Linked DNA regions of Nothobranchius furzeri. The protein of the gene in region 2 interacts with the protein of the main gene of each other region in a biochemical or structural test. Links are inferred from orthologs where the notes say so. Each region holds a gene or a part of one and is shown on either strand. Other genes may lie near its edges.

The links. The genes of interacting proteins can lie anywhere in the genome.
Region 1: of the proteins of hmga1a (region 2) and prmt6, one has a biochemical effect on the other in vitro, tested with the Homo sapiens proteins (2 studies listed by BioGRID, with this or other methods). The link is inferred for Nothobranchius furzeri from reciprocal best matches to the Homo sapiens genes HMGA1 and PRMT6.

Annotation. Positions count from the first base shown.
Region 1 is NC_091747.1:40,741,893-40,747,557, forward strand, and holds prmt6 (protein arginine N-methyltransferase 6), read left to right. Parts: upstream 1-2,526; 5' UTR 2,527-2,601; coding exon 2,602-3,657; 3' UTR 3,658-4,256; downstream 4,257-5,665. UniProt on the Homo sapiens protein: Arginine methyltransferase that can catalyze the formation of both omega-N monomethylarginine (MMA) and asymmetrical dimethylarginine (aDMA), with a strong preference for the formation of aDMA.
Region 2 is NC_091755.1:54,120,909-54,126,806, forward strand, and holds the start of hmga1a (high mobility group AT-hook 1a), read left to right. Parts: upstream 1-3,019; 5' UTR 3,020-3,228; intron 3,229-3,310; exon of another isoform or gene 3,311-3,465; intron 3,466-4,106; 5' UTR 4,107-4,121; coding exon 4,122-4,220; intron 4,221-4,958; coding exon 4,959-5,039; intron 5,040-5,836; coding exon 5,837-5,893; intron 5,894-5,898. UniProt on the Homo sapiens protein: HMG-I/Y bind preferentially to the minor groove of A+T rich regions in double-stranded DNA. It is suggested that these proteins could function in nucleosome phasing and in the 3'-end processing of mRNA transcripts.

The DNA of each region.
Region 1 (5,665 bases), on a different chromosome or scaffold from region 2:
TAGCATGTGACTTTAAAACTGTCACAATTATTGGTAAATGGAGTCCATCTTGTTGGCTAGTGACTTTTTTTTAACCCAACCAGCATAAGGAGCAGTGTGTATGTCTGGGCTGTGTGGGTGGACGTCATTGTCCACCTTGATCACAGTTTAAACACATTGAACTTTGAAAGCATCATTGATGCCCTGAGTTGGCCCGTGCACCACAACTGGCAAAAAGTTAACCCCAACAGTAGAATATGGTATATTTTGGGGGCATTGCCCACATTTTAACTGGTGTTGCTTACTCTACAGATGCATGATTTGTCAAACTTTACCCTGTAGTAAAGATAACTAATCAGGTGTCCAACACTAAAAGATTTGTTGTCCAAAATCATAATTACAAGTAAGAATAGGCCATAAAGTTTCTCTTCATTTTTGTGCTTTTTTTTCTTTTTTTTTTTTGCTCTTCTATGTGCCCTCCCTGGGCTGCCACTGGTGGAGGGGTTTGAGTGTCCCAATGATCCTAGGAGCTAAGTTGTCTAAGGCTTTATGCCTCTGTTAGGGTCATCCATGGGAAACAGGTCCTACGTGAGGGATCAGACAACATGCAGACCACAGACCCCTTATGATGGTTTATATAAATGGTCTTGCATCGCCCAGACTTGGGCCATCAGGACCCCCCTCTGGAGCCAGGACTGGAGGTGGGGCACGTCAGCAAGCATCTGGTTGCTGGGCTTTCACCCATGGGGCCCTGCTGGGCACAGCCTAAAGAGGAAACGTGGGTCCTCGTTCCCATGGGTTCACCACTTGTGGGAGGGGCCAAAGGGGTTGGGTGCAATGTGTGATAGGTGGTAGTCAAAGGTGGGAACCTTGACGGTCTAATCCTCAGCTACAAAAGCTGGCTCTTGGCATGCGGAATGTCACCTCTCTGGTGGGGAACTACAGTTTGGACTGCCCACTCTTTTTGGAGTCCTTGGAGGGGGTGTTTAAGATTGTTCCTTCTGGTGAATCAATCATTCTGCTGGGGGACTTTAACGCTCACGTGGACAACAACAGTGAGACCTTGAGAAGTGTGGTCGGGAGGAACGACGCCCCTAATCTGATTACAAGCACTGTTTTGTTATTGGACTTCTGTGCTCATCATGGATTGTCCATAATGAACACCATGTTCAGACATAAAGGTGTCCATATGTGTGTCACGTTAAGGGGGTGGTTAGGACCCAAAAATGCAGAGACCCAGGCATGGACGTAATTTTGGGAGGAGACAGGGGGGACATGTCCCCCCCACTTTTTCCAAAGTCAAGTTTTGACCCCTGCACTTTTTACCATCCAAAAACAATATTACGCTATATTAAATTGACACTGGTTGAGCTCTAGGACCAAGTGGAAAACAACCGTTTGTGTTGAAGCCTGTTTCCCATTAGAGCATACTGTAAAGATACCCCCCCCCCCCCCTCCATGTCCCCCCCACTTCTAAAGTGAAAATTACGTCCATGGACCCAGGATGACTCAAGGTAGGAGTGGATGTAAAGAATAAATCCTTTTAATTGTAAGATGACAACAAAAATAAATCCAAAATGCTGCAAGCCAAAAATCCAAAAGTCCTGGAGCACAGGACACCGAAAGCTCACTTAAAGCACAAAGTCTGGGGACGAGACAAAAGGCTCACACAGAGCACCAGAAAACGCTGACATACAAAACAACAATGGACCGACAAGACACTGAGACAAGACAGGGCTTAAATACACTGGGGCATAATGGGAGGACGATGAGCTGCAGGTGTGAGGGGAGAGAACCAGGTGAAAGTGATAACTAATCAGGGAGGAGGAGCAGGAGAGGACACCAGACCTAACTGGGAAAGGACACACACACACACACACACACACACACACACACACACACACACACACACACACACACACACACACACACACACACACACACACACAAACACACCTAGCTGGAGGAGGACACATACACACACACACACACACACACACACACACACACAGACACACACACACACACACACACAACTAGAATAATAGACCTATGGAAATTATGGTGGGGAGACTGAAGAAACACAGGACCTGAGAGGGAATATCTGGAGGGCTGAAGACCAGGGGACACAAGAGGAACACAAAGAGACACAGACACAGACCATGACAAATTGAGAGCACGTTTATCTTCATGTTTTCCTTATGAGGAACATATAAAAGTGTGTGAGTCTAATATAACAAAACCAGACCATTTAAAGTGTGTTTCTTAGGATTCACATGTTTTGAAAATGAATATAGTTTATCAAACACATGAGTCATTCATCCTTTCAAAAATAGCAATGTGAGACTTTGTAATGCAACAAAATTAACGTTAAAAGCGCCGAATTTGAAAGGTTTTATTATAAGCCACATTAGAAGTAGGAGGTCAATTTCCCTACTTGTTTAACGTCCGTGACTGCAACGAAACCCAACGTGGCTTCTACTTACTTACGGGATTTGTAGTTTAATTCACATTGACTCACGTAAATTATGCGCAGTGGAAAACTACAAGTCCCATATCCGACAAGGTGAAAGTACTGCAACAATACATCACCTCCTTGTCGCGCACTAGCGTTCAGTAAAGATGTCTCATGCAGGAAAAAAGAGAAAATTAGACAAAAGTCGCCAGGATAGACTTTATTTTGACAGCTATTCTGATGTGACCATACACGAGGAGATGATAGCAGACCACGTCCGAACCAACGCTTACCGGACGGCCATCTTTAGGAACACTGAGCTGATCAGAGGAAGAGCCGTTCTGGATGTCGGGGCAGGAACCGGCGTTTTAAGCATCTTCTGTGCTCAGGCTGGCGCGAGGAGGGTGTTCGCTGTGGAGGCCTGCTCCATAGCCGAGCAGGCGGAGGAGATCGTGAAGCACAACAAGGTGGAGGACATAGTTCAGGTCATCCGGGGGACGGTGGAGACCGTGGACCTACCGGAGAAAGTGGAGGTGATCGTGAGCGAGTGGATGGGCTACGCTCTTCTGCACGAGTCCATGCTCAACTCGGTGCTGTACGCGCGCGACAAGTGGCTGAAGCCCGGCGGCCTGATCCTGCCGAGCAGAGCCGAACTCTACATCACCCCGATCAGCGACCCGGTGGTGGAGGACCGCTTGTTTTTCTGGTACACCGTCAAGGATCAGTACGGGGTGGACATGTCCTGCATGTCTGACTTCGCTCGGAAATGCATCAAGAACACGGACATCACGGTGAGCTCGGTGGCCGTGAAGGACGTGCTCTCCCACCCGGCCCGCTTCGCGGAACTGGACCTGAACTCGGTGACCGTGGAGGAGTTGCGGTCGGTGAAGGGCCCGTTCCGGTGCGAGTCGTTCGGCTCCGCGGCGGTGAACGCCTTCTGTGTTTACTTCACGGTGACTTTTCCCTGTCCGGGCGTACCGCAGACACTGGTGCTGTCCACATCCCCGTCCCAACCGGAGACTCACTGGAAGCAGGCGGTGCTGTACCTGGACTCTCCGGTGGAAGTGGTGCAGGACACGCCGGTTACCGGAGAGGTTAGAATGTATCCCTCCGAGGACAGCGCCAGACACATATGCGTCCACGTGGACTACACTGTAGGACAGCAGAAGACACAATCTAAGACTTTCTCCATCCCTGACTGGACCCCTGATACTCAATCTTAATGATAATAATCCAATTTAATCTCATTTAACTTGTTCTGTCTTCACTGTGAGCTGATATGAAGGCCTGGTCAGGAATAATCTACAAATTAAACCCAAGCTGCTGTTTAAAGATTTTATGCAACAATCTGAGCTGATTTGAGATTCTTTAGACACAAGCCTGCTGGTCTTTTATTTGTTTTGTCTAATAAAAGTTTCCTTTAATTGACATAAAAATGCTTCATAGCACCTTATTGTACATTCTTTAATTGTGACGTTTCTCTTGATGTTACCCTTTAAACAGACATGTCCAAAGTGTGGCTCGGGGGCCATTTATAGCCCTTGAAGTGGTTTTATGTGGCCCCCAAATAAATATCTGGGATTAATTCTGTCTTTCTAGAGTGCTGTTGATAAAGACTGGCAGCTTCTGACACTTTTATGTTTAGATCTGTCTTCTACTAGAATGTTTAACCTTTTTTTGTATTTTGTAATTTGAATTGCTTTTATTTTCGATTTATTCACCATATTTAACTTTCTCTTGTACCATGTTCAGCGCCTTGGGCTTCCCGATAGGGTTGCAGAAGGCGCTTTATAAATAAAGCTTTGATTGATTGATTGATAGATAGATTTGTCCTAATATGTATATTATGAATGTATTGTGAGGAGAACTTTTTTTTTGTTAAATCAACCTAAAGAAGTCATTTTTTAAATTGTATTTTACATTTTTTTTACATCGACTTGATCATTTTGCCCCTTCTGATAAATTTAGACACATCAGATTTAGAATCTTAACATTTTAACAAGGTTCATCTGCAATAAACATTTTTAATCAAAAGAGTCGAGTGAATAAGTACAAATCAAAGGTTTTAATGTAGAAAAATATGTAAGACCACAAATAATCCTAAATTAATCAAATAAAAATGTTCTGCAGAACTAAATAAATCTGGTCAATATTGTTACCAATTTCCTGGATGTTATGACAAAAGTTTATTGATAGTCAAATTAAGAACATTTTTAAAGATTTTTTTAGGCAGGTCAACAAACCACTTAATCTTTGTCTCAACTATTCAACTTTTTACCATTGCATAAATTGGGTTAATATTGCTAAAAAACATTCTGGCAGATAATTATTAGAAACTTGCTATTTTAAATAAATAAGTGAACTTCTGTTTATTTTTAACAAGTATTTATTTCTAAACAAGATCCCTTATTTAGTTTAGTAATTGTGATTATATCTATATAATAATGATTTTATCTAAAGGTTGATTTTAAGGATTTGCTCCAAATTAGAAATAAAAACAGCAATATTTTATTAACTGGGCAAAAATCTCACTTTCCTCCCAACTTAGAGAATAGTGATCATAATTGTAATGCGGGCAAACACTGTTAAGCTATTTCTAGGTGCAGTCTTTTGCTCTCTTATTGAATATTGTGTTACTCGCAGGTTGCAGCAAGGGCAGCATGTTGGGCAAACCTTCGTGTAACACTAGGAGGTCGTGTGAACTTCCACTTTTAAGTCATTACGCAGGTACATAATTCAGACTCAATTTACTGGGTCGGAAACATGACAAAATATGCAGAAAGAATGCTTGTTGTGGATAATTTCTGCTCTTTAAAATGATGTTTTCCTGTTTAATTACAATTTAAAATCCAAAACTGACCCAAATCAAATTTTTGATGAAAAGAAAACCCCCTGCATTTTGATTATAAATCACTACTCATAAATGTGTGAGGATGTAAGTTGATGATAATGATTCTTTCACTTGAACAGTGATCCTTTTGTTTCATCATCTAATGATGATCACAAGCTATAATCTGAATACATCAAATGCATAGTTTGATGGTATTGTGACCAAGGAGCAAACTCCACCTGCCAAAGGATTAGCCAATGCACGTGGCAAAAATTGCAGTTCCCCCCTCATCCACTAGGTCGGGGTTCGGCAACCCGCGGCTCTGGAGCCGCATGCGGCTCTTCCATCCATCTGATGCGGCTCTCTGTGCTTGTAAAATAATGAATGGATATTTAAATAAA
Region 2 (5,898 bases):
TGACCATTTCATGTGTTAAGCCTGTTCTTCAGATGTTTAACAACGACCTGTTAAAAGTAAAAGAGAGTGACAATCAGCTGACCAAAGACATCAAAACAGCAATACTTGACTACATGAACAGAAGCTACAAAGAAACCATCACAGAGAGGCTTATTAAGATGGCTTCTCTACTTGATCCAATGTTTTCGCACAGAATATTTCAGTGAGAGTGAGAGCGAAGCCATCAAAGTTCAGGTCATGAGTGAGCTAGAGCATCTTGTGTCACACCAGGGTAGCACAGCCACAGGTGTTTCAGAAACCCTTCCCACATCTGCTGGAGACCAAACAATTCAGGGAGCTGCTAAAAAGCCAAAAAAAAAAAAGAGTCTCAGGAGCTTTTTGAAGGGACCTGTTAGTGGCAAGACAGATGTGACTGCAGAAAGGTTATTATCTAAACTGAGCTGTTATGTGAATAGTCCACCAGCAGACAGTGAGTGTGATCCTCTTTTGTGGTGGAAAGTTCACACGGTAAACTTTCCCAACATCAGCAGATTAGCTATAGGAAATACCTCTGAATTCCAGCAACTATAGCTCTGCATCTGAAAGGTTGTTCAGTACAGGTGGAAACGTTGTAACTTGTCTACGATCGTCCCCTAAGCCCACATCTGGGAACATGTTGTTTCTGACAAAAAAATCTGAAAACTTGAAAAGGGCACTTTATCCATGTTTTTTTATTGTGTTTTTTACTCAAGAGTTTGAGTTTCATGTTGCAAAGCAACTCCTAGTTATTAGATATTACACATGGTTATGCTCAGGAGGATATTCAGCCCATTTGCACAAACATTTTAATGTAGTTTTGATGCACATAACAACTGCTGTTTAAGTGCAAATATATTGGTGAGTTCTTTGCACTAATAAAGTTGTTAATTTGTAAAGTACTTTGTCTCACATCAGTCATATCGTCAGTTATATCGTTATAGCAAATTTTCATATATATATATACACACACACACACACATATATATATATATATATATATATATATCGTGATAAATATTTTTGGCCACATTGCCCTGCCCTAATATTTTTTTCTGATAGTTTTTCAGTCACATTTTAAACAAGAACAGAATTTGCAATGAAATGAGAAGCATATGAGAGAGGCTTTCATCACTACACAAAATAAATAATCCTTAATCCTTTACGCTCTTGTTTCTTTCAAAGACGCCTTGATTTGCATTAGGAGCAACAACTCTTGCAAATCATCCCTGCCCTTACAAAGATGGACTCACCAGCTGTTTTAGCTTGCAGCCAGTCCATGTAAACTGACATGAGTGAGCGATGTCTTCCCCAAAATGATACGATGTCCCAGACATCCTCATAAGTTAGAGGTTTATGAATAAAAGATGGGTTTATTTTTCTCCTCCACCACAGTTATTTCCTCTAGGGGCTGCGACTTTTTTACTGAATTACTAGGCTGCTGCTTTACAACTCTGTTTATTTACCTTGAGTCTTCCCAAAAGACGTTGAGTCACATGTCTGCATTGAATATTTTCTTCAGATTTATTCATTAAAGTTTGTTTTGCTTGTGAACAACATCAATGAGTAAATCACCTTCCAGCTTTTGATGACAGAAGTACAAGTTTTTTTTTAAAGATTAGTTTTAGGTTAAAAAAAGAAGAAAGAAAACCATAATGAAGAAAAACCTTGCTAATTATAGTTAAGATTCAAATATAATTCTGAAATAGCAGCAAAAAAGTACAATTTTTATTTCAAATGACTCATAAAATGTTTAATAAAAATCTATGTTAAACTTTTCATATTAATTGTTGCCTAATACAAGAATAATTTAGGGACCATGTCTGCACATGTAGATGAGCACCGATGTTAACAGAACAGTAAAATTCTTTGAGAAAATCAGCGATGCTTCATAGGGAGTTTACGATTTAATTTCATTCAAACTAAACTTCGGCTAGTAGATTAAAATTAGCTCCACATTTACTGTTTCTCTTAGGGTTTCATACAAAATGAATACACAAATATGTTTTAAAGATTAGCATAATTAAAAAAAAGAAAGGAAAATCAACATAAAGAAAAAAAACTCCTCAATATAATTAAGATTCAAATATAATTCTGAAATAGCTGCTCAAAAATGTCATTTGAATTTTAAATGAAACATAATTGTTTTTTCTTTAATGCACAACAAATAAAAGAAAATTAGATTAAAATTAGCTCCACATGCATTGTTTCCGTTTGGGTTTTGTACAAAATAATATTATTAATATATTTAAATAATATGTATAAATTAAATTACTTTTTAGTCTCGTTATTTAAACATGAGCAAAGGGATTGTTTACATTGGGGGACGTCATCATAGTTCAAGCGCCATGACAGTGGAGGCTATGACACAATGTAGGTTAATTTTATTTTATGAAAAAAGTGGATTGTAAGCAATTTAGTCATTTCGTAAAACCCCTTAGATGCTAAAACAATGACGATTTACCAACTACTTTCACCCATGTCAAGAAAGTGATTCATAAAAATGGAGATTTGTAAGACGTTAGCTCTTATCATTCTATAATCCTTTATTAGACAAATTAACTCACTTTGCTTTCCCCCCAATACTTAGTTATTTGTTTGAATGTATAATTTTGGAGATTATTATACAACTATGATAAATTTATTATATGTATAATATAAAACTTTTGGATATTAATTTGGGACTCTTTCAGAATGAATGTAAACAATGGGAGAAATGTCTTGTTTACATTATAATAACGATATTTTAGAAGCCATTCACAAGCTGTCCGGTAAACATACAGTAAGCAATAATTTTATATAACAACTTAAAGAAATACGTACTGTGACCTTCGACGAGTTGAAAGTAACTAGATAAGTGACGAGATTAAACGTAAACTTCCACAGGTAGCGCGTCTCGACTTGTAAACACCCTGTGACGCAATAATCGGCCTGCGCAGGCGCTGCGCATTTCCCCAAAGTATAATATTTCGACGGGGGGCACGGATAGTCGGAACACCGGCGGTGCTGAGTGGAGGTTGGGCTGTTCTGGTTCTGTTGGTGGCCCTCGTTATCATATCCCCGCCCTCCAGTGTTCCCGCTCTCCTGAGGGCGGTTCTTTAAATTGTCCAAAAACTCCTCCTGTCCGACTCCGGCGCCTTTCATTCCTTTATCTGCGCGAGACGCACGTGCTCTACCGAGGGAAACCTTTGGATTAAACTTCTCACCGTGCTGGTAAAAATAAATATGTTTCATGTACAAAAATGCAGAAAGTTCAGCTTTTCGCTTATTTAAATGGGTTTGTGTGTGTTTTTAAGGCGCGTGAGCTGGGCTTTTTAAATGGGCGGGCTGTCTGACGAATAAAAGCTGTAGCCTATAGATCAGCTTTTTAACCGGGTACGCACCAGCCGGGCTTCAAACGGAAACAAGTCTACCTGAGTTTAGCACGGAGGCGATAGCACCGTGACAAAGGTGAGTGGGGATGCGACCACCGGTTTTACAAACAGCCCGGAGCTCCGGCGGGAAACGGCGGCACGTTGTCAGCCGTCTTTTGTTGCTTCGGTCCGGGCTCGCTCCGCTACACGGAGACCTCGGTTGCTGCTCTCCCCTCCGCCACTTAATTTTTAAAAAGCCATTCAGCTCAAAGCTTGTTGCCTGCAACCAGAAACGAGCCGCGGCCATTGTGGTGTGTGAGTGTCGGTGGATCTCTCCGCGGCCCAGGCGTGCAGACACGCTGCTCTGAGATGGTTCCGTGCGCAGGCCTGGTCTTTGGGCTCCTGCGGGGCCTATAAGCGCGGTCGGTACCGGAGGGAATTGGCTGGTTTTGTGGTCTTTTGCAGGTTAAGCCTGCTGTGATCGGTTTTCTGCGTAAACCTCTTGTGTCGCAGAGCGCAGACGAGACGGAAATAGACCTGGAAACCAGCGCGGATTAATTGGGTTAAACCGTGCGTGGTGCGGTCGGTCATCTTTGGTTTGTTGTTGCGGTCAGTGGGTTTAGTGGCTCACGGGTACACGCTGTGCTCAGTTTTCTGTGTGAACTCGACGCCTCTTGCAGCATCAAGGCCGGCCGGTAGGGTTTATTTAAATCATCATTATCATCATCATCCATTCAGGTTGGAAGAGCAAATATGAGCGACAAGGGGACAGTCTCACCGAAAGAGAAGGAGGCGGCAGAGAAGAGAGGGCGTGGAAGACCCCGCAAATCGCTCGAGGTGAAAACCTCTGACGTAAGTAGTGTCTATTTATTCTGGTATACTAGCTGATTTTCTACCACCCCGTCGTTTTATTATTATTATTATTATTTTTTATTTTTATTTTTGCATGCCATGGGAATAAACTTGATCTTAAATGCATGCAGAACCAGGCCGGTGTGGTGCTGAGCCTCAGGTCCTCTTGTGATCGCTGAGGCTCAGTTAGACGCACATGCAGGTTTGTGCATATCAGAGTCTTGAGACCAGAATAAAATAGCCCAGACTGCAGGAGCATGGCCTTGTGGCCATTTGCCCCCTGCTTTTCCACTGCTGAGGTGTACAGCAAATTCCCAGCATGTCTCACCAGTTTGTAAGCAACCAGTAACCTAACACCTTTAAACTGGTTTTAACCTCCCCCTCATCCTCTTCTGCATTACATAGGAGAGTTGTGGCCCAGAGTGGATCACATAGATGTCACTTGGCCTGCTGTGTATTACTATTGAGTTGCTGGGTTGCTAAGAGCTGTGATGATCAACACATCAGACGAGCAACAGAAGACGAGTGGGCCATGACGCCGGTTTAAACCACGAGTTGTGCATGAATTTGCTGAACTTTCAGATGTTATGGCAGTCCCCTCTGATGTTTACGGTTCAGCCAGATTGCTCAGTCAGTTTTTGTTTTGATTTCAATTGTTTTGATGTGCACTAAAATTGAGCCTTTTTGGGCATCTATTAAAACATTCTTGATATTAACTATAACCTGTTTGATATCCAGGAGCCAAGTGGGTCACCAACTCCAAAGAGGCCCAGAGGGCGACCAAAGGGCAGCAAAAACAAGACTGCTGGCAAGGGCAAGGTAAGTCATTGCTCGTCTTGTTTGAAACTTATATTCCCGTAGTTTGCAACAGCTAACCTCATCCTCTGCTGTTGATATATGTTTATTGGCTGCAGTTCAAGGTGCCACAAATAGCCCGGCCATGACTCCCTATTGGGGGCGGCAAAGTGATTATCAATACCAATAAATCTTGGTTAACTGCTTTATTTGGGGGTGGAAGGGGGGGCCTGATATTTACCCTGTACTTCCTGTCCTCCAGCTTCCTGCAGCTTGTCATGCACTGTGTGGTGCAGGTGCAGAGGCCGCAAGACTGTTTCCAGGCTGACACTAAGCACCCCTCCGCCCCCAACCAGCACACAGCCCTACTTCTTCTCTCTGCCTGTCGTCTCCATAGCAACAACTGCTTTTTCTCCCTCTCCCCAACCCTTTAGCTCCCCTGTGTGTGCGCGCCATTTGCTGTTACGTATGGGAGATGGAGTGAATAAGGGAGTTTAGGAAGCACCGGTATAGGTTTAGAAGTGCGGGCCAAGCTGTAGGGTTTGTCTCCACTCGATTTCACCAGCTGTCTCTGAGCCTCGGACCAGGTGGCCAGCGAACTGGAGTGCCCCGTGTGCAGTTCCTGTCGGCCGTCCAGATAATAGCCAATGAACCCAGTGCCCCCTTTCGATCGGTCTTGTTGCAGAAGTACGGCTGCCATCTACAGGCTAATCTGCAAATGGACGACAGATCCCCAGCACGTCGCTGAGAATGAAAATCATCTCTAAACAGCAAGACCCTCTTAAAGCTATATTGACCTTTTTAGTTGTTTTTGTTCACAGAAAGCACCAGCAGCTGCGTCTGCAGGGGGCAAACGCAGGGGCAGACCCAAGAAGGAGGTGAG